4 linked regions of the Arabidopsis thaliana genome follow. The protein of the gene in region 1 purifies or fractionates together with the protein of each later gene. This does not show direct contact. Each region holds a gene or a part of one and is shown in the gene's direction. Other genes may lie near its edges.

The links.
Region 2: the proteins of NRPD2B (region 1) and AT4G14342 fractionate together in Arabidopsis thaliana (co-fractionation; one large-scale study listed by BioGRID). This does not show direct contact.
Region 3: the proteins of NRPD2B (region 1) and AT3G23325 fractionate together in Arabidopsis thaliana (co-fractionation; one large-scale study listed by BioGRID). This does not show direct contact.
Region 4: the proteins of NRPD2B (region 1) and RPC14 fractionate together in Arabidopsis thaliana (co-fractionation; one large-scale study listed by BioGRID). This does not show direct contact.

What each region holds. Positions count from the first base shown.
Region 1 is NC_003074.8:6,192,538-6,200,829, forward strand, and holds NRPD2B (nuclear RNA polymerase D2B), read left to right. Parts: upstream 1-1,978; 5' UTR 1,979-2,177; intron 2,178-2,422; 5' UTR 2,423-2,785; coding exon 2,786-2,848; intron 2,849-3,219; coding exon 3,220-3,447; intron 3,448-3,621; coding exon 3,622-4,502; intron 4,503-4,885; coding exon 4,886-5,177; intron 5,178-5,316; coding exon 5,317-6,210; intron 6,211-6,305; coding exon 6,306-6,613; coding exon of another isoform or gene 6,614-6,665; exon of another isoform or gene 6,666-6,681; coding exon of another isoform or gene 6,682-6,700; exon of another isoform or gene 6,701-7,165; coding exon 7,166-7,667; 3' UTR 7,668-7,887; downstream 7,888-8,292. Other genes in the region: BGLU44 (B-S glucosidase 44), read left to right, coding at 1-245, 362-477, 576-796, 887-918, 1,011-1,113, 1,228-1,408, 1,491-1,587; MYB4R1 (myb domain protein 4r1), read left to right, coding at 8,152-8,292. UniProt on the Arabidopsis thaliana protein: DNA-dependent RNA polymerase catalyzes the transcription of DNA into RNA using the four ribonucleoside triphosphates as substrates.
Region 2 is NC_003075.7:8,252,443-8,257,562, reverse strand, and holds AT4G14342 (Splicing factor 3B subunit 5/RDS3 complex subunit 10), read left to right. Parts: upstream 1-1,958; 5' UTR 1,959-2,157; coding exon 2,158-2,163; intron 2,164-2,392; coding exon 2,393-2,478; intron 2,479-2,566; coding exon 2,567-2,780; 3' UTR 2,781-3,063; intron 3,064-3,726; coding exon of another isoform or gene 3,727-3,774; 3' UTR 3,775-4,027; downstream 4,028-5,120. Other genes in the region: AT4G14350 (AGC (cAMP-dependent, cGMP-dependent and protein kinase C) kinase family protein), read left to right, coding at 119-166, 657-741, 851-907, 1,002-1,114.
Region 3 is NC_003074.8:8,343,959-8,348,275, forward strand, and holds AT3G23325 (Splicing factor 3B subunit 5/RDS3 complex subunit 10), read left to right. Parts: upstream 1-1,811; 5' UTR 1,812-1,849; coding exon 1,850-1,855; intron 1,856-2,039; coding exon 2,040-2,125; intron 2,126-2,209; coding exon 2,210-2,333; intron 2,334-2,408; exon of another isoform or gene 2,409-2,698; intron 2,699-2,850; coding exon 2,851-2,898; 3' UTR 2,899-3,184; downstream 3,185-4,317. Other genes in the region: AT3G23320 (Polynucleotidyl transferase, ribonuclease H-like superfamily protein), read left to right, coding at 671-1,246; AT3G23330 (Tetratricopeptide repeat (TPR)-like superfamily protein), read left to right, coding at 3,242-4,317.
Region 4 is NC_003071.7:12,640,756-12,644,810, forward strand, and holds RPC14 (RNApolymerase 14 kDa subunit), read left to right. Parts: upstream 1-2,072; 5' UTR 2,073-2,532; coding exon 2,533-2,761; intron 2,762-2,882; coding exon 2,883-3,073; 3' UTR 3,074-3,189; downstream 3,190-4,055. Other genes in the region: TIM10 (Tim10/DDP family zinc finger protein), read right to left, coding at 271-321, 437-506, 633-671, 953-1,024, 1,149-1,201, 1,450-1,488; TUB7 (tubulin beta-7 chain), read right to left, coding at 3,503-4,055.

The sequences.
Region 1 (8,292 bases):
TTGCGGATTACGCTGAGTTTTGTTACAAGACATTTGGTGATAGAGTGAAAAATTGGATGACGTTCAACGAGCCGCGTGTGGTAGCTGCTTTAGGTTATGATAATGGTATTTTCGCACCGGGTAGATGCTCAAAAGCATTTGGAAATTGCACTGAAGGAAACTCCGCGACAGAGCCATACATAGTTACTCATCACCTTATCTTGGCCCACGCAGCAGCAGTCCAAAGATACCGCAAATATTACCAAGTAAACAAATAACTTCTAATACGTTTTCTTGATCTTCTTGATGTGATATGATGAAATAAACCTATATATATGGCTCTTTTGCCAGTGTACTACTAATCTTAATGAAAATTTTCCAGGCGAAACAAAAGGGAAGGGTTGGGATACTTTTAGATTTCGTTTGGTATGAGCCGCTTACTAGAAGTAAAGCAGATAATCTTGCAGCTCAAAGAGCAAGAGACTTCCATATCGGATGGTAAATGTTAAAACTTTTTAACAAATAAAAACTCATATTTTACCATCAAGTCTTGGTGAGCTTATAGAATATCTTTTGTTTTCGGGTCATGCTTGAAGGTTTATTCACCCATTAGTATATGGAGAGTATCCAAAGACAATGCAGAACATTGTGAAAGAGAGGCTTCCAAAGTTCACGGAGAAAGAAGTGAAAATGGTGAAAGGTTCCATAGATTTTGTGGGAATAAACCAATACACGACTTATTACATGTCCGAACCACATCCCACCACCAAACCTAAGGATTTGGGTTATCAACAAGATTGGAATGTGGAATTTGGCTGTAAGTTATTGGAAGATTCATAACGATATGTAGATTTTGGATTTTGTTTACAGTCTTTAGATTTTGATCGTGACAATTATTAACTTGCAGTTGCTAAGTTGGGGAAGCCAATAGGTCCAAGGGTGAGATATACACTTGATTATATGTTTTTTTTTTTCCCTAAGCAATATATATACAAGTGTCTAAGTTATTAAATAAACCACTTATCTTATAGGCTTACTCGTCTTGGTTATACAACGTACCATGGGGAATGTACAAGGCCTTGATGTATATGAAGGAACGTTACGGCAACCCTACTATGATCCTCTCTGAAAACGGTATTAAAGAAACAAATTAAAATCTTCAATCAAGTTTCTTTTTGTTTTGTTATATTTCTATAAGATTATTATAAATTTTAGAGCTTTTTATAAATGTTTGAACATATTTTATAGGTATGGATGACCCGGGAAACGTTACTCTAGCTCAAGGACTACATGACACCACGAGAATCAAGTATTACAAAGATTACTTAACCAACCTTAAGAAAGCTAGGGATGATGGAGCCAATGTGGTTGGATATTTTGCGTGGTCATTGCTAGATAATTTCGAATGGTTATCAGGATATACTTCAAGGTACTTAAAAATTTATACCAAATGTATGATATGTAGAATAAATCAAGGTTATAATTAATATCTGTTTTTGTTTATTGTATAGGTTTGGGATCGTTTATGTTGATTACAAAACATTGAAGAGGTACCCCAAGATGTCTGCTCAGTGGTTTAAGCAACTTCTGAAACGAAACAACAAATGATCTCAATGTATCAATGCCGGGTGGATTTAGTTTTTAAAAAGGTTGGAATTGATGATTGAAGAAATAATGGGGCCGGTTTAGTCACTTTGTTTATTATAAGGGGGGTGAATTGTAACTTGAACTCTCTCCTTCTTCAGTTCTTTGACTTTTCAACACAAATAAAATAAAAGTTTAAGAATAAATTTGCACTATGAAATATGAACTCTTGTCCTTTTCAATTTTGTGAGTTTATATGCATTTAGAACATAACGGTCTTTGAACATTATAGATTTATAAAGTTGCAATTTGCAAGCATAAAGTTGGTAATCGAATTGATGTAATTACCCTTCTTTACTTTGTACTAAACAAAGCGCACTTAGCCACTTAACGCTAAAACATCGTAAGGACATACCTGTCATTTCCACAAGTGCCACTCGATTTCGCCACTCCTACAGTCCTACTCGTCGACTGCTCGCTTAACCATTGAAAAAGTGAGCCAAGGGTTTTGATTATTTTCGACGTCTACGGCGAATCTCTCCGCATCTTCATCGATTTCCCGGCGACGTTTACTACCGCCGTTTTACTCAATCGTGCCAGCTTAAGCAATCGAGGTACCCATTTTAGGTGTTACGCTTTGATTCTGCTTTTAAGCATTGGACAATTCCGGAGAATATGCTTTAGTTTCCTCTCTTTTGGAGAATGATTCGGTTCTAGGGGAAAGATTGTTGATTTCGTGTTTGTATTCATCATTGATTGAAACATGCATGATGCATTTTCGTGGTTCATGGTTTTTCACGGCTTCTTATCATTTTCTCTGTCTTTTTTTTTTTTTTTTTTTTTTTTTTTTTTGTTTCAGTGTGTATTGAGGTATACCAGAGATAGACATAAATGAGATGGATGTTGACGAGATCGAGTCTGCTGGGCAGATCAATATTTCTGAGCTAGGAGAAAGTTTTCTCCAGACTTTCTGCAAAAAAGCTGCGACATCTTTCTTTGAAGAGTTTGGACTTATAAGTCATCAGCTTAACTCCTACAACTTCTTCATTGAACACGGGCTTCAGAATGTGTTTGAGTCCTTTGGTGACATTCTTGTGGAACCGTCTTTTGATGTAATAAAGAAGAAGGATGGCGATTGGAGATACGCAACGGTGAAATTTGGAAAAGTCACTTTGGAGAAGCCTACATTCTTTTCGGATGACAAGGAGCTTGAGTTTCTCCCATGGCATGCAGGCTTCAGAACATGACATACTCAGCAAGGATCAAAGTCAATGCCCAAGTTGAGGTAACTAAACTAACAAAATCTTTGTCGAAATTAAGTAAGCTTGTCTGGATTTGATGAATGATTTCCCTTGCTTGAAAACTCAGAAAGGCCAGTTAACTATCACTTTCTAGTTCAACATTATGCAATATGTCTATGTAGTCGAGAGTGGAATACCACATGGTATGAAATATAAAAGAAAAACATCTTAAGCTTTTTATTTATTTAGTTCTTCCCCATTCCCTCACTGTTCTTTAATTGAGTGTTTCATGCTTGTGTGCAATGACTCTTGTACAGTCAAAGTTTTGATGATGTTTCTGTTTTGCTGTCCATGTATCTTATTCTTGTAAATGTAGTTTATTGTCTAACTGCATCTTCACTTTATAAATTACTAGGTGTTCAAAAAAATTGTTATTAAACACGACAAATTCAAGACTGGACAAGATGAATATGTCGAGAAGGAGATACTGGATGTCAAAAAACAGGACATTCTAATTGGTAGCATACCTGTCATGGTGAAATCTGTCCTTTGCAAAACTAGCGAGAAAGGAAAAGAAAACTGCAAAAAGGGGAATTGTGCCTTTGATCAGGGTGGATATTTTGTGATAAAGGGGGCTGAGAAGGTGAGTTAAACCATTTTGGGATCTTTTTGCATATCCACTATCATGGGATTTCTATTTTGAACTATTTTAGTGTATAGCTTAGTGGAAATTAGTTCTCTTTTTCTAATATATACTGGAAAAAATATTTTCAAGTTGTTATACAACTTCCTAACGTGATTATAATCTGTCTTGCAGGTGTTTATAGCTCAAGAACAGATGTGCACAAAGAGATTGTGGATTTCTAATTCACCATGGACAGTCTCCTTCAGGTCCGAAACTAAAAGAAATAGGTTCATTGTGCGCCTCTCGGAGAATGAGAAAGCAGAAGACTATAAGATAATGGAGAAAGTACTGACAGTGTACTTCTTGTCGACTGAGATTCCAGTCTGGCTCCTGTTCTTTGCGTTGGGTGTTTCATCAGACAAAGAAGCCATGGATCTAATTGCTTTCGATGGTGATGATGCAAGCATTACCAACAGTCTCATAGCTTCTATCCATGAAGCTGATGCAGTGTGTGAAGCTTTTCGCTGTGGGAACAATGCCCTAACATATGTTGAACATCAGATCAAAAGCACCAAATTCCCTCCTGCTGAAAGTGTGGATGATTGCCTCCGTCTGTATTTGTTTCCATGCCTCCAAGGTTTGAAGAAGAAAGCCCGATTCCTGGGCTATATGGTGAAGTGCCTTTTGAGCGCGTATGCGGGAAAACGAAAATGTGAAAACAGGGACAGTTTCCGGAATAAACGAATTGAGCTCGCTGGAGAACTGTTGGAGAGGGAGATAAGGGTGCATCTTGCACATGCTAGAAGAAAGATGACCAGGGCCATGCAGAAACAACTCTCAGGCGATGGCGATTTGAAGCCTATAGAGCATTATTTGGATGCTTCCGTTATCACCAATGGGCTTAATAGAGCCTTCTCCACTGGAGCATGGTCTCATCCTTTCAGGAAGATGGAAAGGGTCTCAGGTGTTGTAGCTAATTTGGGTCGTGCAAATCCATTGCAGACTCTGATTGATCTGAGGAGAACGCGACAGCAAGTCCTTTATACCGGCAAGGTTGGAGATGCTAGACATCCGTAAGTGAAAATTTCCACCTCCCCTGGTATATTGAAATATATCCCACGTACTTTAACTAACTGATATGGTTGCATTTACTCAATGTTACATGTCTTCAGACTGTTTTAAAGATATTCATATTAACCTATTTAGTATACGATGGCGATCACAGTTTCTGCAGAGTCTCGTCGGTTTATAATATTGAGTTTGTATAGATGTTGCTGCTATTAAGAAACTTTGATACTGTCTTTCTTGTTTCTTTGTCCCTTGGTCAATCTATCTGTTGTCCTGATGCATGTATTGAGATTATCCATTTTGGTTCCTTTTCAATGTGAGCGGTTACACAATTAAATCGTGCTGGGAAACTGAACTATGGCTGCATTGTTTTTAATGTTGGCCACAGGCATCCTTCTCACTGGGGCAGAGTATGCTTTTTGTCAACTCCAGATGGTGAAAATTGTGGTCTTGTGAAGAACATGTCTCTTCTTGGACTTGTTAGCACTCAAGGTTTGGAGTCTGTGGTGGAAATGCTCTTTACTTGCGGAATGGAAGAGCTGATGAATGATACCAGCACACCATTGTGTGGCAAACACAAAGTTCTTCTCAATGGAGACTGGGTTGGATTATGTGCAGATTCTGAATCCTTTGTCGGGGAGTTAAAAAGCAGGCGGCGCCAAAGTGAATTACCTCTCGAGGTATCTTCTGTTTCAGCAAATGTTTTGCTATATTTTGATATTCTTGTGCTACTTGATTATTTGCTTTGGATTTTTCTGCTTCAGAAAGTATCCTATGTCGAATATTATTTACATATATGTATCACAACGTTATCTGCAGATGGAAATCAAGCGAGATAAAGATGACAATGAGGTGAGAATTTTCACTGACGCTGGTAGACTACTCCGACCTCTCTTGGTTGTGGAAAATCTCCACAAGTTGAAGCAAGACAAACCTACACAGTATCCTTTTAAGCATCTTCTTGACCAAGGGATTCTCGAGCTGATCGGGATTGAGGAAGAAGAAGACTGTACTACAGCATGGGGAATCAAACAGCTTCTGAAGGAACCAAAGAATTACACGCATTGCGAATTGGACCTATCATTCCTGTTGGGTGTGAGCTGTGCAATTGTCCCATTTGCAAATCACGATCATGGGAAAAGAGTTCTTTACCAGTCTCAGAAGCATTGCCAACAAGCCATCGGATTCTCATCAACGAACCCTAACATCCGCTGCGATACGCTGTCCCAGCAGCTGTTCTATCCCCAAAAGCCACTTTTCAAGACATTGGCGTCAGAGTGTCTTGAAAAAGAAGTTCTATTTAATGGCCAGAACGCAATTGTTGCTGTGAATGTTCATCTCGGGTACAACCAAGAGGACTCCATTGTGATGAACAAGGCTTCATTGGAACGTGGTATGTTCCGTTCAGAGCAGATTAGAAGCTACAAAGCAGAGGTTGATACTAAAGACTCGGAGAAGAGGAAGAAGATGGATGAGCTTGTTCAGTTTGGAAAGACATACAGCAAAATCGGCAAAGTAGACAGCCTTGAAGATGACGGGTTTCCTTTCATTGGTGCTAACATGAGTACTGGCGATATTGTCATTGGCAGATGCACCGAGTCTGGGGCTGATCACAGTATAAAGCTCAAGCACACTGAGAGAGGAATTGTGCAAAAAGTGGTATTATCTTCTAATGATGAAGGGAAGAATTTTGCAGCGGTTTCTCTGAGACAGGTAAGTTCCAGATCATACTGAATCGAGCTGTTTTTCAGAGAATGCATTCTTATGATGAATCAAATGTTCCATTGATTGGCTTTTACATCTTGCAGGTTCGTTCTCCATGCCTTGGAGATAAGTTTTCCAGTATGCATGGCCAGAAGGGTGTTTTAGGCTATCTAGAGGAACAGCAGAATTTTCCTTTCACGATCCAAGGCATAGTTCCTGATATTGTGATAAACCCGCACGCTTTCCCTTCTAGGCAGACACCAGGTCAACTCTTGGAGGCTGCTCTCTCCAAAGGAATCGCTTGTCCTATACAAAAGAAGGAGGGTAGCTCTGCTGCATACACCAAATTGACACGTCATGCCACTCCTTTCTCCACTCCGGGTGTCACTGAAATCACCGAGCAGCTTCACAGGTACATTCTTCACATTGTCACTTGGTTTTTAGCTCGTAAAACAGAATATTGAATTATATGCAATACAGATTGACATTTGGTTCCTAGGGAGTACAGATGGATGATATCATTAAGGGTAGGAACTAATTATTAATAATGTTGCCTGGTTGGAGATGTTTGAACTTTGGGACTTTGGCTCAAAAGCTGACATGATATGCATAATACCAGCAAATCGAGCTAATATACTGCACAAGGCACTAAGCTAGATTTGAGCACCTTACTTGAAACATGTCATAGTGGATCTTTGTTTTGTTTCCTAGTACCAGAAGTGAGCATGATTTATATGACGGGCAAATATCTCTGTAAGACCAAAAAAACTAAGAAGTTGGATGTTCTCTGGTTGATTAAATTGTGCCTGCAAAACGTCTAGAGGATACACAGAATGGGCTCAAAAGCCATGTATCAGTATATAATTAGTTAGAGGATTGATGCTGTGAGCCTTGTGATTATGTATGATTCGTTGAACCTTTCTTAGATCATTGTTGATTGCCAATGGTAAATATTTGTGGTTAGGGCCGGCTTTTCAAGATGGGGAAACGAAAGGGTCTACAATGGTAGATCGGGTGAGATGATGCGCTCTCTGATATTCATGGGCCCAACTTTCTACCAGCGACTTGTCCACATGTCAGAGAACAAAGTCAAGTTCAGGAACACCGGACCAGTCCACCCGCTCACACGCCAGCCAGTCGCAGACCGGAAGAGGTTTGGCGGGATAAGATTTGGAGAAATGGAGCGAGACTGCCTAATAGCTCACGGTGCATCCGCTAATCTGCACGAGCGGCTCTTCACTCTAAGTGACTCTTCTCAGATGCACATCTGCAGAAAATGCAAGACCTATGCGAATGTGATCGAGAGGACTCCAAGCAGTGGAAGAAAGATCAGAGGGCCATATTGCAGAGTGTGCGCATCCTCCGACCATGTGGTTAGGGTCTATGTTCCTTATGGAGCTAAGCTTCTTTGTCAGGAGCTGTTCAGCATGGGCATTACTCTCAACTTCGACACCAAGCTCTGCTGATTCCCCGTCATTATTATGTAAATAGCTTAATGCCTTAAGACCATGATGATATGTGTAGTTTGCTTCAATCCCTGTTCTGGTTAGTGTTGGTTTTGGTTTGGTTGATTCTGTAAGGGTTATCCGAAACGAAGAAATCGTTAAACCAAGCCACTGAACTAAATCTTAAGTGTTGCTTTTGTAAGAGTTGACTCTTTAACCGTAAATGATGATCGGATTTTGTAAAAATCAGTTCTTTTGTCAACGCTAACCGGTTTATATCTGGTTTTCTATGTGTTTTATAATGATCCGACCCAGACCCGGCCCGTTTGCACTGATGCCGCCAATGTTAAATTGGTCAGACATAAATAAAACCTTAAGTATTAGGAAAACATTCATCGTCTTCTTCTTCTAGAGGCATAAACCCTTGGCTTGGAGCCGTTTCTCTCATTCTTCGATTTGATTCAATTTCATTTTCATAAAGAAGGATTTCTCTTTCTGTATCGCGATGAATCGGAACAGCCTATACGAAGCTGATGACGATGATGACGATGACGAAGAAGATGACATCGGTGAAGACCTCGAAGATTTAAGACGCGCATGTATGGTCTCTGACGTTAATTCCGATCAATTCGCGTCAAAAACCGGT
Region 2 (5,120 bases), on another chromosome or scaffold:
TATATGCCACCAAATGATGTGGCATGATGTATATACTGAAATATTGGTATCACAGATGATTTTTATGCTCCTGATAAGGAAAATAATGTATACTCTTCTTTGATTCCTTCTGGAACAGACTGACAAGCAAGTTCCAAAGTCAGCCAAGTCAGGTCCATGGAGAAAGGTACAGCATAAGCACTGACTTTTTGGCATTATGTACCATCAAGCTTTTTTTTTTTATCTAATAGAAGAGTGATCATACTTCAAAATTTATCTATAAGTGGGTTCCTTGAGATATGTTGTTCTTTGATGATACTACAGACGTAGCTTAAAATATTACATGCAACAAAGAGCTCAGAATGATGAAATTGGCTCAGTTTCTGTCACAGGCGTTTCTATCTTTGTACTATATTCACAAAAACGTGATTCACTCTTTTAGGTTCAAATTTTCTTATGGTAATTTAGAATTTGGAGCTGATTGGGATGCTACTAACAGAATTATGTTGTTAATCTGCCAGTTCTGCATGTTGACGTGTGTTAGATGAATCACTTATCTTTTTGGACCAACATGATATAACTTAGAACCTGTTCTGTCAATAGAATTTATGTCATGAACCAAAAGGATTCTTGTGAATTTCATAACATGACGCTGGCTTTCTTTTTTTCTTCTCCAGATGCTCTCATCCAAAGACATTAACTTTGTTGGTTATACTTACAAGAACGTAGAAATCGTAAATGATGACCAAATACCAGGGATAGGTAATTCACTTAACCCCCCTTCCGTTGCTGAGGAAGAAGCAACAATACTAGATTACCTTGTGATTATCATCGCATGTTTGCTGCATTTGTAATTTGTTTTATTGTGCAGCTGAGTTGAAGAAGAAGAGCAATAAGCCAAAAAGGCCGTCTATTAAATCTCTCTTTGGTAAATCATCTGTTTGTATGCTATTTGTAAAATCAAGATGATTACGATCCATGTTTGATTCTCTCTAACCAAACTGTGGAAACTAAATTAACAGAAGACGAAACATCTGGTGGGACAACAACCCACCAAGGAAGCTTTTTGAATCTACTACCGACGCAGATTGAAGATCCAGAGAAAGAAGGTAGTAAGTCGAGCTCATCCGGGTGAATTTCATTTGACACATTGCACAGCCTGAACCAGAAGACTCTTGTTATATTAACATGTGTGTTGTTGATTTCGTTGAAAGCCTTTTGCTTTCTCTAAACGACTGTTAAAAGTTGGAGTTAGCAGGGGTTTTTCAACAAAGTACAGTCTCTCCAGTGGAAGCGAAGGCTCTCCCAGAGGAGAAAGATGGATTTGTTTAATTGTTTTCAACATAGAAAAGTGAAAAAGTAAATATTCTTTTCGGAATTGGCTTGTTTATTTATTTTCACAGGGAGAGAAGGTGAGCTTTGGTATTTGATTTTTTTTTTTTTGGTTAATCAAAACTTGGTTGTACTACTAAACCTCAAGATGAAATCTTCACCCTCTAATGCTATAAGCAAAAGTATTTACTATTTATTAGATTAGAAAAAGCGCCAATCTGAAAAACTGTTCTCACTGAATGTGTTTAATTGAGTACACTCAAGAGTGAAACAGATGGCTTAATGGCACCTCAGATTTGGTGCTAAAAGTCTACAGTCTACACTATATGTAGGCCTTTGGAACCAATTGCGTGTGAAGACTGAAGACTAAAAAGTGCATACAAAAGAAGTAGAGAACAAATGTACCTCTATGAGTATTCGTAGGCCCTTAAGAGACCTTCTTCAAATGTCAAAATAGTATAAAAAAGAAAAAAGACTAAGTGTGGCTGCTGGGATTCGAGCCCAGGTCCCCACGGCCACAACGTGGGATTCTAACCACTAAACTACAGCCACTTTTGTTTGTATTCTGTAGATTGATAATGATTAAAGAATCCACAATTGTTAGCCAAATTCCAAGCTTCTTGCCTTAACTTCTTTATTATGTGAAACGACCACGTTTTCATTTTATGATCTACTACTTCGGGTACACCGAACGAACCGGTCGGTTATTTCGGATTTAAATATTAACCGAAAACAATTAGCAGATAAAGGACTTGAAGAAAGATAGGGTTTAGATCTTCTTCTTCTTCTTCTTCTTCTTCTTCTTCTTCTTCTTCTTCTTCTAGTTGCTGCGAAACTCTGAAAAAGATGCAGGTATGTTCTCGATCCGAAACCCTAGCTTTTGTTGGTAAATTGGAAGAAGAAATAACCTAATTAGCTTCTTCTACCTTTGATTCTCTGTCTGTTTAATTTATCTATGTCGAAGAGAATTGGCTTAGACGAAATTAGGTCGATTTGTTTCTTATAAAGCATATATAGATGAAATCGGGAACAATTTGCTTTAAATTTAACATCTTTTGGTTTGGGTTTTTTTCTTTTGCAGGCAAGTGATAGGTTTAACATCAATTCTCAGCTTGAGCATCTTCAAGCTAAATATGTTGGAACCGGTCATGCTGATTTGAGTAGATTGTGAGTTTCTTTTGATTTTAGTGTTCAAATTTTTATATGCATTGTTTTTATTGGCTACTAATTTGTGGAATTGGTTTAAATGGTACAGTGAGTGGGCTGTGAACATTCAGCGTGATAGTTATGCTTCATACATTGGTCACTACCCTATGCTTTCATACTTTGCTATTGCTGAGAACGAGTCTATTGGACGAGAACGCTACAATTTCATGCAGGTTTGCCTCCTTTCATGTCTTTTGCATATTACTTTCTCTAGTGACAAATCTACAGTTCAAGATTTGGATTATGATTCTATGTTTATTTGATTAGGTGCGTATCATATGGTTATGTAACTTATGTTGCCTTCCAGATTTATTGCTTTGTTGTATGGTTTTTAGTTTACTGTTAAATGTCGTATTTGTCTATTCGTCGTGATATTTTGATTTCTTAGACCATGGACTTCAGTTTTGACTGACTATTTCAGCAGCCTCTAGTTCTGTAGGATACAATTATATTAGAGAGCGTTGGGTCATGGTCTTACTCAACTCGGTTGGTTTCGGTTTATTCGCCTCTTGCATGGTTGAAATGTGTGATAGGTTAGAATTTCATGTAGGTTTGCTTCCTATTCTCTGTGTTAATAGGAATCTTATCAGTAAAATTCTGTACTTTCCTTTTGCCTCATCCTTTATCTAGTGACAAATCTACAGTTCAAGGTTTGGATTATGATTCTATGTGTAGTCGATTAGGAATGTATCATTTCGTGGTTATCTTGTGGTATATCTCATTCCTTTTCCTTTTCAGATTCATTGATTTGTTGTATGGTTTTAGTTTAGGTCTTGTCAATGGCGTATTTCTCTATTTGTCGTGATATGTTGATTTCCTAGACTATGGACTTCACATTTCACTGACCATTCAGCAGCCTCCAGTTGTGTAGGTTACAATTAGATTATAGAGCATTAGGTTATGGTGTGGTCTCTCACTCAAATGTTTTCATTTGTCCTCAATTCTCAAATTAATGGAAGCTTAGTTCCTTTCACAAACAGTTGTGAGCTCGCCTTGGCTTTCAGTTTTTTCATGAAACAGGTCTCTTACATGGTTGAATAATCTTGTGATAGCGATCTCTTATATCTGAATATATGGTCTTCTTGAGGGTTAATCGAAAAGCATAGAAAAATATGAATATTTGTGGGGTGTTCTTTGCTCAAAAAATTGGTTACACTTTGTAGATGTGATGATGTTTTGGAATAACTTGAGATGTCTTTTGATTTCCAGAAAATGCTATTACCCTGCGGCCTTCCTCCGGAAAGAGAAGAGGAATAGGTGACATGAGGATTCGATTTGTCTTTCAAGTTATCAAGAACTCGTGTGATGGAATGTTGGTTTGGAGTTTTAAAAACTGTCCAATTTGATCTTCTGGTAGAGATTTATATGACTGTTAAAAAACAACTTTGTCTGTGTAAGTTTGCTTTTCTTGAATGTAAAAAACAAAACACCTTGGATTTTTAGGTTGGTTTTACACGGTTTCGTGTTTTAATCAAATTCATCAAAATTTTCAATTTTTGAACTATCCAAAAACCCGAATAATCCGACATAACCGTTATTGCATGCCTAGTTTGATTTGTTAAAAGTTCCCGACATAAATTCTTACCGTGGGATGTCCAAACGACAAGAAAACAACGGGTGTGACAAATGGACAAATAAAAGCAAAAAGCTTAGGCCACTTAAACCAAAAGCCATTTCATCAAACGTATTCTAAAATCTAAACTATAAATAATGTAATATCGTCAACGATGGAAGCCTATAAACACTATAGTTGATATAATCATACGCATCTATTATAAGCTTGCTTACTTATGGATAATTTTTCTTATTCTCTTTGACTTATTTTTGCCTAGTTTCATTGACCATCATAATACTTTAACAATACCGAAAGTTTCATAAACATTATAAAACTTTAGTCATTGTATACAATCCGAAAGTTTCATAAACATTATAAAACTTTAGTCATTGTATACAATTATCAATAAGTTTTGTTTCCCATGCATGTGAAATATCACTTGACTCAAGATGAATGGTCCTAACACGTTTACCTTTAGAGACACATGTTAATTTTCATATTGAAAATGAAAGTAAAAACAAAATGCTTAATATAGCATAGAAGAACATTAGCTATCCTACTAAATTACCATATAGAAGAAACTCATGAATTTCACACTGTGTTCATGAGTTCATCGAGAAGATCTACTAACGACATGTAAACTGGTTATTAAGTATGAGCTTGATTTCTCAAGACTCATCAACAAGTGTTCCATGTATCGACGTTACCAAGCGTTCGGGAGATCCACAAGTAAATGGATGCTTTCTTTTTTAAATTGTTTGAACTTTTATAAAATCAGGTCCTTTACATGCACTTCCAGAATCTGTCCAAGCGAGAGATCATAAGATAGAACAAAGTGATAATATGATAATATTGCGCTAGTACACGATTTGTTGACAGTTTAAATCCAAAAATGTTCATCAACATATTGGTACGATTAGTAAATGAGTAAAAAAAAACTTAAATAAATCAATGTAAATTGGGTGATGTATGTAGACTTAGGTATTGCACTAACTTGATTTTATTGATTCACAAAGTATAGTATTTATACAAGAGAGACATCTTATGA
Region 3 (4,317 bases), 2.2 Mb from region 1:
AACCATTGAGCCACGTTAACTTTTTAGAAGTATAGTAAACATATACATATATATATATATATACGTAACTAATTAAAAATAACCAACTAAAATAAATCAATAATATAGAAAATTACCTAAAATTTACACAATCCTTCTCATATGAATATAGGATTAATCTATACATGCACATAGAATTTCATTCAACTTCACTTTATATATAATTTTATTTATAATAAAACATATATTTTATAAATTAATTTGATAAATATTTAATAAAAGAAAAATATAAGATCATTATTCCGTCTTCAAATCAATTTTTTTATTCATAATTAGATGGAAAGTATATAAAAAGTTATTTTTTGGTAATATATTTATAGGTGTTATATTTCACAAGTTTGATTTTTATATAATTTAAGAGAATTTTTTTTTAATTCAATACGTTTAATAAAAAAATTTACATTGTTATTTGAGAATATATATTAATGGTAGGTGTATTTAATATTTTTACATGTTTAGTTATTGTTTTTATAGTTCGGTTTTTATTTGGTAGGTGCATTTTTATAATTTACATCATTTTTAATATTTTTATTTGCCATTTTGGTTAATATGGAGGATTTGGAAGAGCCGGAATGATTTAGTCTTCAACAAAAAAGCAATCGCTGTCGCTGATGTGATAAACCAAGCGATAATGGACACGAAAGAATGGCTGGATGTTAAGCATAAAAATGATGACAACGTCAAAGGGGGCCAAACCAAGTCCTCAAGAACGGACAAATGGCAAAAACCAGGAGCAGAATGGGTCAAATGCAATTATGATGTCTCTAACCATGCGGGAAGACAAGACTCAGGCCTCAGATGGATTATTCGAAACTCACAAGGAACCTGTTTGGACTGCGGCTGCGGGAAATTTCAGGGTCGACAAACAATAAAGGAAGCTGAATGCACTGCCCTCATATGGGCAATACAATGCGCTTGGGATTTGGGATATAGGAGAGTAGAATTTGAAGGCGACAACATCACAGTTAATCGCCTTATTCGAAACAAAGAAACTAATCCACGACTTCGATACTATTTGGAATTCATTCAACAATGGAGCAAAGCTTTCACCACTGTGAAGTTCACATTTCGACACCGGGAACAAAACGTTTGTGTTGATGTTCTGGCGAAAAAAGCAGTAGCTAATCATATAAATCATACTCTATATCATTTTTGTCCTAGATTTCTAATGTCGTTTGTAAACAAAGATGCTGAACACGTGAATTAATAAAGTTATTGGAAGGAAAAAAAAAAAAAATAGTTCGGTTTTTAATTAGTTTTGCGTATATATATATATATCAGTTTTCATTAATATCGAAATGTTATCATAGCATATTGGTTGAGCGCTTGTGATAATTTAGGAGGTTCACGAGTTCAATCCATTCTTGGCGCAAATTTTAATATATTTTTATTTTGAAACGACGTCGTTTCGCTTCTAACGGAAAATGTTAACGAAAAGTTAACTCCGTTATTTTGTTGTTAACGGAAATTTAACGACATGCCCAAAATAGTAAAGTCAACGAAACTTAATCATTTTATCAAAAGTCAGACGAAATTTTATAATTTTAGCGGCATTTCGGAAGTTCACGTTTTTTTTATCCCAAATTTAAAAGTTAATGATTTGGTTTGATTGAAATGTCCGGTTCTGGTTTGGTTTTCTTTTGTACCGGTTCTCATAATAATAGCCACGTATTAAAAATTTATTAGTAATGGATTTGGGCCAGACCCATTCTCAAAGCCCAATCAATTTCTCAGTGAAACATATATAAACCTAATTAAAGTGAAGCAGAAGTTGTATTCTTCTTCTTGCGAACTCGCTGAAGTCTGAAAGATGCAGGTTTGTCTCTCTCGATTCGAAACCCTAGTTACTTTTTTTTGTTCTTATCTCTAATTTTATACAATTTCTTGACGATTAAGCTAAGCGTAGCTGAAATCTGGGAACAATTTGCTTTAGTTCTTGTAAAGGTTAGGTTTTTAAGCAGCAGATAGTTATGTAATCTCACTTTTTTGTTTTTGTGCAGGCAAGTGATAGGTTTAACATAAATTCTCAGCTTGAGCATCTTCAAGCTAAGTATGTTGGTACAGGTCATGCAGATTTGAGCAGATTGTAAGTATTTTTCACTTTTTGTTTGGATTTTTCAGGATTCCAAAATTGTGAACTTATTGAAAATTTTGAATGTTTTTGTGTTAGTGAATGGACTGTGAACATTCAGCGTGATAGTTATGCTTCATACATTGGTCACTACCCGATGCTTTCTTACTTTGCAATAGCTGAGAACGAATCTATTGGTCGAGAACGTTACAACTTCATGCAGGTTTGTTTACTATCTTTCTTCTTGCATCATGTCAAGGAATCATATTGAGAATGTTAATGTGTTAGTGTCTTAAGGGAGAGGAACAATTAGGGTTGTTTCAAACAGGGTAAAGTGTTCCTGCTGCTCCCCTCTTTAGCTTGGAGAAGCCAGTAAATATCTTTCTCTTCAAGGAACTTGTGGGCCTCAAGAAAACCTGCTATAATTCTAGTTTTTCAACATTCCTCCTTCTGATATCAGCAACAACTCCTTACCCTTAAGAATGGAGAATGGAACTTCCTCAAAGATATTTACTTGGCCTCTGCAACCGGAAAGGGGAGCAGCATGAAACTCTTTTAACCCTTACCCTGTATTTGTCAAAAACAGATTGTATCATATCGTAAGTTAGCAGGAAACTACCAATCTTGAGGGTTGTTTCAAACTGTTATCTTCTGGTTCTTCTACACTCAAGAGTCAATGACTTTGCATTTTTGCTAATAGCTTTTACTAACTCCAAACTTCTTTGATTTTTTTTTTGCAGAAAATGCTCTTACCTTGCGGCCTTCCTCCAGAAAGAGAAGACGAGTAAGAGCTTGTGTGCATTTGAAATTAAAAAAAACATTCTACTTCTTAGAAGCTTGTGTGCAATCTTCTTTAACTGCTCCACCAATGTAATTGCCGAAAAGGCTTCTTCTTGTTTCTAGTTCATAATGCAGTTGTTGATCATGATCTAAACATTTGTACTTTGTTATAGTCTTGATACAATTGTCAAACTCAAAGTCTTTTTGCTACTCGAACAACTATTGCAAAAGAATTGAATTGAACAAGTCATAAAAAAAAGAGGTTAAAAGTTGGAGTATTTAAATGAATGACGAAAATAAAAATCAAACCTTTATGTTTGCTAATGGTGAATCTCTGAGAAGGAGACAAAGATGAGTTCATCAAAAGCCCTAATCAAAACCCTGATTAAGAATCCAACTCGAATCAAATCCAAATCTCAAGCGAAGCAGCTTCACGCACAATTCATCAGAACTCAATCACTCTCTCATACATCAGCTTCAATCGTAATCTCAATCTACACAAACCTTAAACTTTTGCACGAAGCTTTGCTTCTTTTCAAAACCCTTAAGTCTCCTCCTGTTCTAGCATGGAAGTCAGTAATCAGATGCTTCACCGACCAGTCTCTATTCTCCAAGGCGTTAGCTTCGTTTGTGGAAATGCGAGCTTCTGGGAGATGCCCAGATCACAATGTGTTTCCTTCTGTTTTGAAATCGTGTACGATGATGATGGATTTGAGATTTGGTGAGTCTGTTCATGGGTTTATTGTTAGGCTTGGTATGGATTGTGATTTGTATACTGGTAATGCGCTTATGAATATGTATGCTAAGCTTCTTGGTATGGGTTCTAAGATTAGTGTAGGTAATGTGTTCGATGAAATGCCTCAAAGAACGTCCAATTCTGGAGACGAAGATGTAAAGGCTGAAACTTGCATTATGCCTTTTGGAATAGACAGTGTGAGGAGGGTTTTTGAAGTGATGCCTAGAAAGGATGTTGTGTCGTATAATACTATCATTGCAGGGTATGCACAGAGTGGAATGTATGAAGATGCTTTGAGAATGGTTAGGGAGATGGGAACTACTGACTTAAAGCCTGATTCTTTTACTTTGTCTAGTGTGCTTCCGATATTTTCTGAGTATGTGGATGTTATTAAGGGGAAAGAGATTCATGGGTATGTGATTAGGAAAGGGATTGATAGTGATGTATATATTGGGAGTAGTTTGGTTGATATGTATGCGAAAAGTGCTCGGATTGAAGACTCTGAAAGAGTGTTTTCTCGCTTGTATTGTCGGGATGGTATCTCGTGGAACTCGCTTGTAGCTGGGTATGTACAGAATGGTAGATACAATGAGGCTCTGAGATTGTTCAGGCAAATGGTGACCGCAAAGGTTAAGCCAGGGGCTGTGGCGTTCTCAAGTGTGATTCCTGCTTGTGCTCACCTAGCCACCTT
Region 4 (4,055 bases), on another chromosome or scaffold:
TTTCTTTGCCCTTCAATGTAAAAATACAAAGTCAACAACTTGGTAATATAGATGTGTTTCGTTATTTTCGATTTGTTATTTCATTTCACCCCTTAGGTAATAATAATGGGTTCACATGGAATTGCATAATTTGTCCAAATCAGCGCCAAAAATGTGATGCAACTTTCTTGACAATAAAAACAAGATTGCCTTAAACTTTAGAAAAACAAAGAACAGAGTTGTGTTCCCTCCATGAGCTTTTTGGTCTGTAATAATTGCCTTTAAACTGGATTACACGGGAGGCTTGCCAGCACTTAGAAGCTGTCCAACCATTCCATTTACCTGAAAACAAATTTAATGAAAAAGAACATAAGCATTGAATTTGAATAATAGTAGTCAACTATGAGAAGATTTGAAGTATCAAATTGTTAATTGTTGAAGTATCAGAGAGCCTTACCTGCCAGTACTTGGAAACACAACGGTCGATGCAACTATTCTCACCCATGTTTAGCTCAGCTTCCTTGTACCTGAGAATTAGGCAAAGAATCTCAAAACAGGTGCAACTTACTCATCTCTCAGCTAAGAAAAGTTTCAACAATTGCAGACAAGTTCCACGACGTAATTATAGAACATCAAAAGGAGAAATAGTTTACCTTTTATCCACACATTTATTAAAGCATGTTTGAGCAAGCCTGCAATACAAGAACAAGGCCTGTCAGCATAGTCTCTAACCCGAGGAATCACAATAGACCACAAAGTATATTAGAAGGAAAAGAAACACATATAAAGATGTGACTTTCTTCATAATCTCTAACCAGAGGAATCACAAATGGCCCGGGGAAATGAATATTAACAGAACACCACCTAAGTCATATGTTATCAAAGTTTAAACTCTACATAACAGCTGAATACATATGCACAGAACTCGAGAATTCCTCATAGAAAGATTTTAGATTTCCTCCTCAAGATAAACAATTCAGGCAGCCTAAGGATTTTCGACATATCAGCAGTCTCAAACTTATACTCCTCTAGCTTATATATATCACTATTTGAAAATAAGTGAAGCCCTAAACAATGTGATCAAAACAAAATTAAACCAGATAAGCAATCACAAGTGAAAATCGAATTTCATAACGAAAGATAAACCAAATGGGTGTTTGATTCAGTACTTGTTAAAGAGTTCCACGCGATACTCCATCTCCGTTTGTGCCATACTAAACGCCTGATTCAAATCCAAGACACCAAAAAAAAAAAGCAAAATGAGAAACTTGACAACACCAATCCAAATCTAATAAATGGCTTAAAGATCTGAATCACGATACAATTTAAACCCTAAGCATTGCAAAAACATTGAAACCTATATGTCATCACAGAGACAGCTAGAAAAACTTAAGCTTCCATTGTCTAATTAGATCAAAGATCGGAGCTTTACGATGTATTAACAATAAAGGACGAGCAAATAAACCGAACCTGTTCCTTAGTAACGCCGACGGGAATAGGAGAAGCCATTTTTTTAGCAGTACCTGAATACAAAATTAATGATTCGTAAAAATCGAAACTTTATAATTCATACTTGAATTTGAAGATCATAAATCCTTACTTTCTCAAATGGGATTTCGTGAAGAGAGGTAAAGAACACAACAAAGGCTTCTCTTTTGCTACACAGCCGAATTAGGGTTTAAGAGACATTACACGCCACGTCATCAAACGAAAGGGTATAGATGTAATTACGCTAAAGTATCTGAGCTTCTCCACGACTAAAAGTCGCCGACTAATCAAGCTTTTAGGGTTTTAGCAAATTTCTATTGGAGGTATCTTCTTTCTTACTCTCTCAACTTTTTTTGCTGAAATTTTCTTCAATTTCGAGTTTTTCTTTGTGGGTTTGTTTAGCTATTCAAAGCTTTCAATTGAAGTCGTTCTCTTTCTGTGTTTTCTAGTTGGTGGTGGATTTTTGATTTTGAGTTAAGGAATTGAGTAGCAAGAAGGTGAGATATGGAGCACGGTTCGTTCACGAATGTTAGTCATGCTTCGTTTACTTTATCGGAAGAAGATCACACACTTGCTAATGCTGTTAGATTCGTCTTAAACCAAGAGTAAGTATCTTCTTCTTTCAATCCTTTTGAATCTGTTATGTATATATATAGAAGAAGCTATACACTTTCACAGAGAAAGGCTTTAGCTTTATAATCTCATACTTAGTTCGTGACACTCTCAAATTCTGATTATTGAGTTCATAGTTTCCCTCATTAGGAATGAATCTCTTACCTGTCTTTACCTTTGTTTTTGGTTAGAATTATTGTGAAGATAATCAAATTTTGTTTGAATAATCAGTGTGCACATTGTATGTTTGTGCCATTATAAGGTGATTGTGAAGGTTGAGTTCGATTCAGATTCATGTTCTGTGGTTAGAGACTAGAAAAGATAGTCTAGAATTAGCTCTTAGATAGAGACAGCAGTGACGAGGCATTATTGTTCCGATATCTTTCGTTGGATGAGTTTGGTCCATTAAGTTCGCCATTATATTGTGATTGTGAAACTTGAGAGTTCGATTAAATGTTGGTTTACATTCATGTTATGTTGTTAGAGATTCTCATTGTATTCAATGAATGTCACATTATCTTATCTTTGAGGTTGATGGAGTTGATATGCTGGTGTGTAGACAATGATGATTATGTCAATAACCAGTACTGTTTTCAATTCTGCAGTCCCAGAGTAACCGTGGCTGCATACACCATCCCACATCCTTCCCTTGAACAGGTCAATATCCGGGTCCAGACAACAGGTACTGTTTTTCAAAAACTCTGTTCATCAGAGTTAAGCTATGTTCTTTTTGGATAACTCTTATCCGAGTTCTTTGTCTGTGTGTCTAACAACATAAAACGTGTTGGCTCTGTGGCTTTTAGGTGATCCAGCAAGAGAGGTTTTTAAAGATGCATGTCAAGAGCTCATGCAAATGAACAGACATGTGAGAAGCGTTTTTGATAAGGCTGTTGCTGAGTATAAGGATGAACAAAAGCGTAAGGAGGAGGCTGAAGAAGAAGAGCTTAAGAGGCAGAGGGATCTATTTGGGTCCATGGACATTGAAAACAACTGATAACCATTGTATTCTCCTATGGAGTTTATACTATTTTTATCTTAAATCCAGATTCGTCCTTCAAATTGACTCGTCAAATTCATAATCCACACCAAAATTTAACCAAGAAGATTCTTATATTGCTTATAACCATTGTCACTACTACTCTGCTTCTTATATTTGAAAGATGGTGAAGTCTTCACCGAATTCACATAGTCAAAATTAACAAAAGGTTATATAATGAAACAAAGAAAAAAAATACTATGGATGGATTTTGATTTAGCAAAATAGATTGTTTGAATATTGATTGATAAATCCTCTTAGCCTACGCAGAGTATCATAACTACTAATAACGCAAGCGATAGTTACAGAAACTATAAGAACTTAATAGAAGAGAGTTTTAAAAGTAAACAGCAACTGGAAGTTGAGGTGTTCTTATCATCTGTTTCTTCAATAAGTTTCTTCTTGCTCGTACTCAGCTTCTTCCTCTTCATATTCTCCTTCTTCATCAGCCGTTGCATCTTGATACTGCTGATACTCAGAGACAAGATCGTTCATGTTGCTTTCAGCTTCAGTGAACTCCATCTCATCCATACCTTCACCTGTGTACCAATGCAAGAAAGCCTTTCTCCTGAACATAGCAGTGAATTGCTCACTGACACGCCTGAACATCTCTTGGATCGAAGTTGAGTTACCAATGAACGTTGAAGCCATCTTCAGACCAGTAGGGGGAATGTCACAGACGGTTGATTTGACGTTGTTAGGGATCCATTCCACAAAGTAGGAGGAGTTCTTGTTCTGTACGTTCAGCATCTGTTCATCGACCTCCTTGGTGCTCATCTTTCCACGGAACATGGCTGAAGCAGTGAGGTAGCGACCGTGTCTTGGGTCAGCAGCACACATCATGTTCTTAGCATCCCACATTTGCTGAGTGAGCTCTGGGACAGTGAGGTTACGGTACTGCTGAGATCCACGAGAGGTGAGAGGAGCAAATCCCACCATG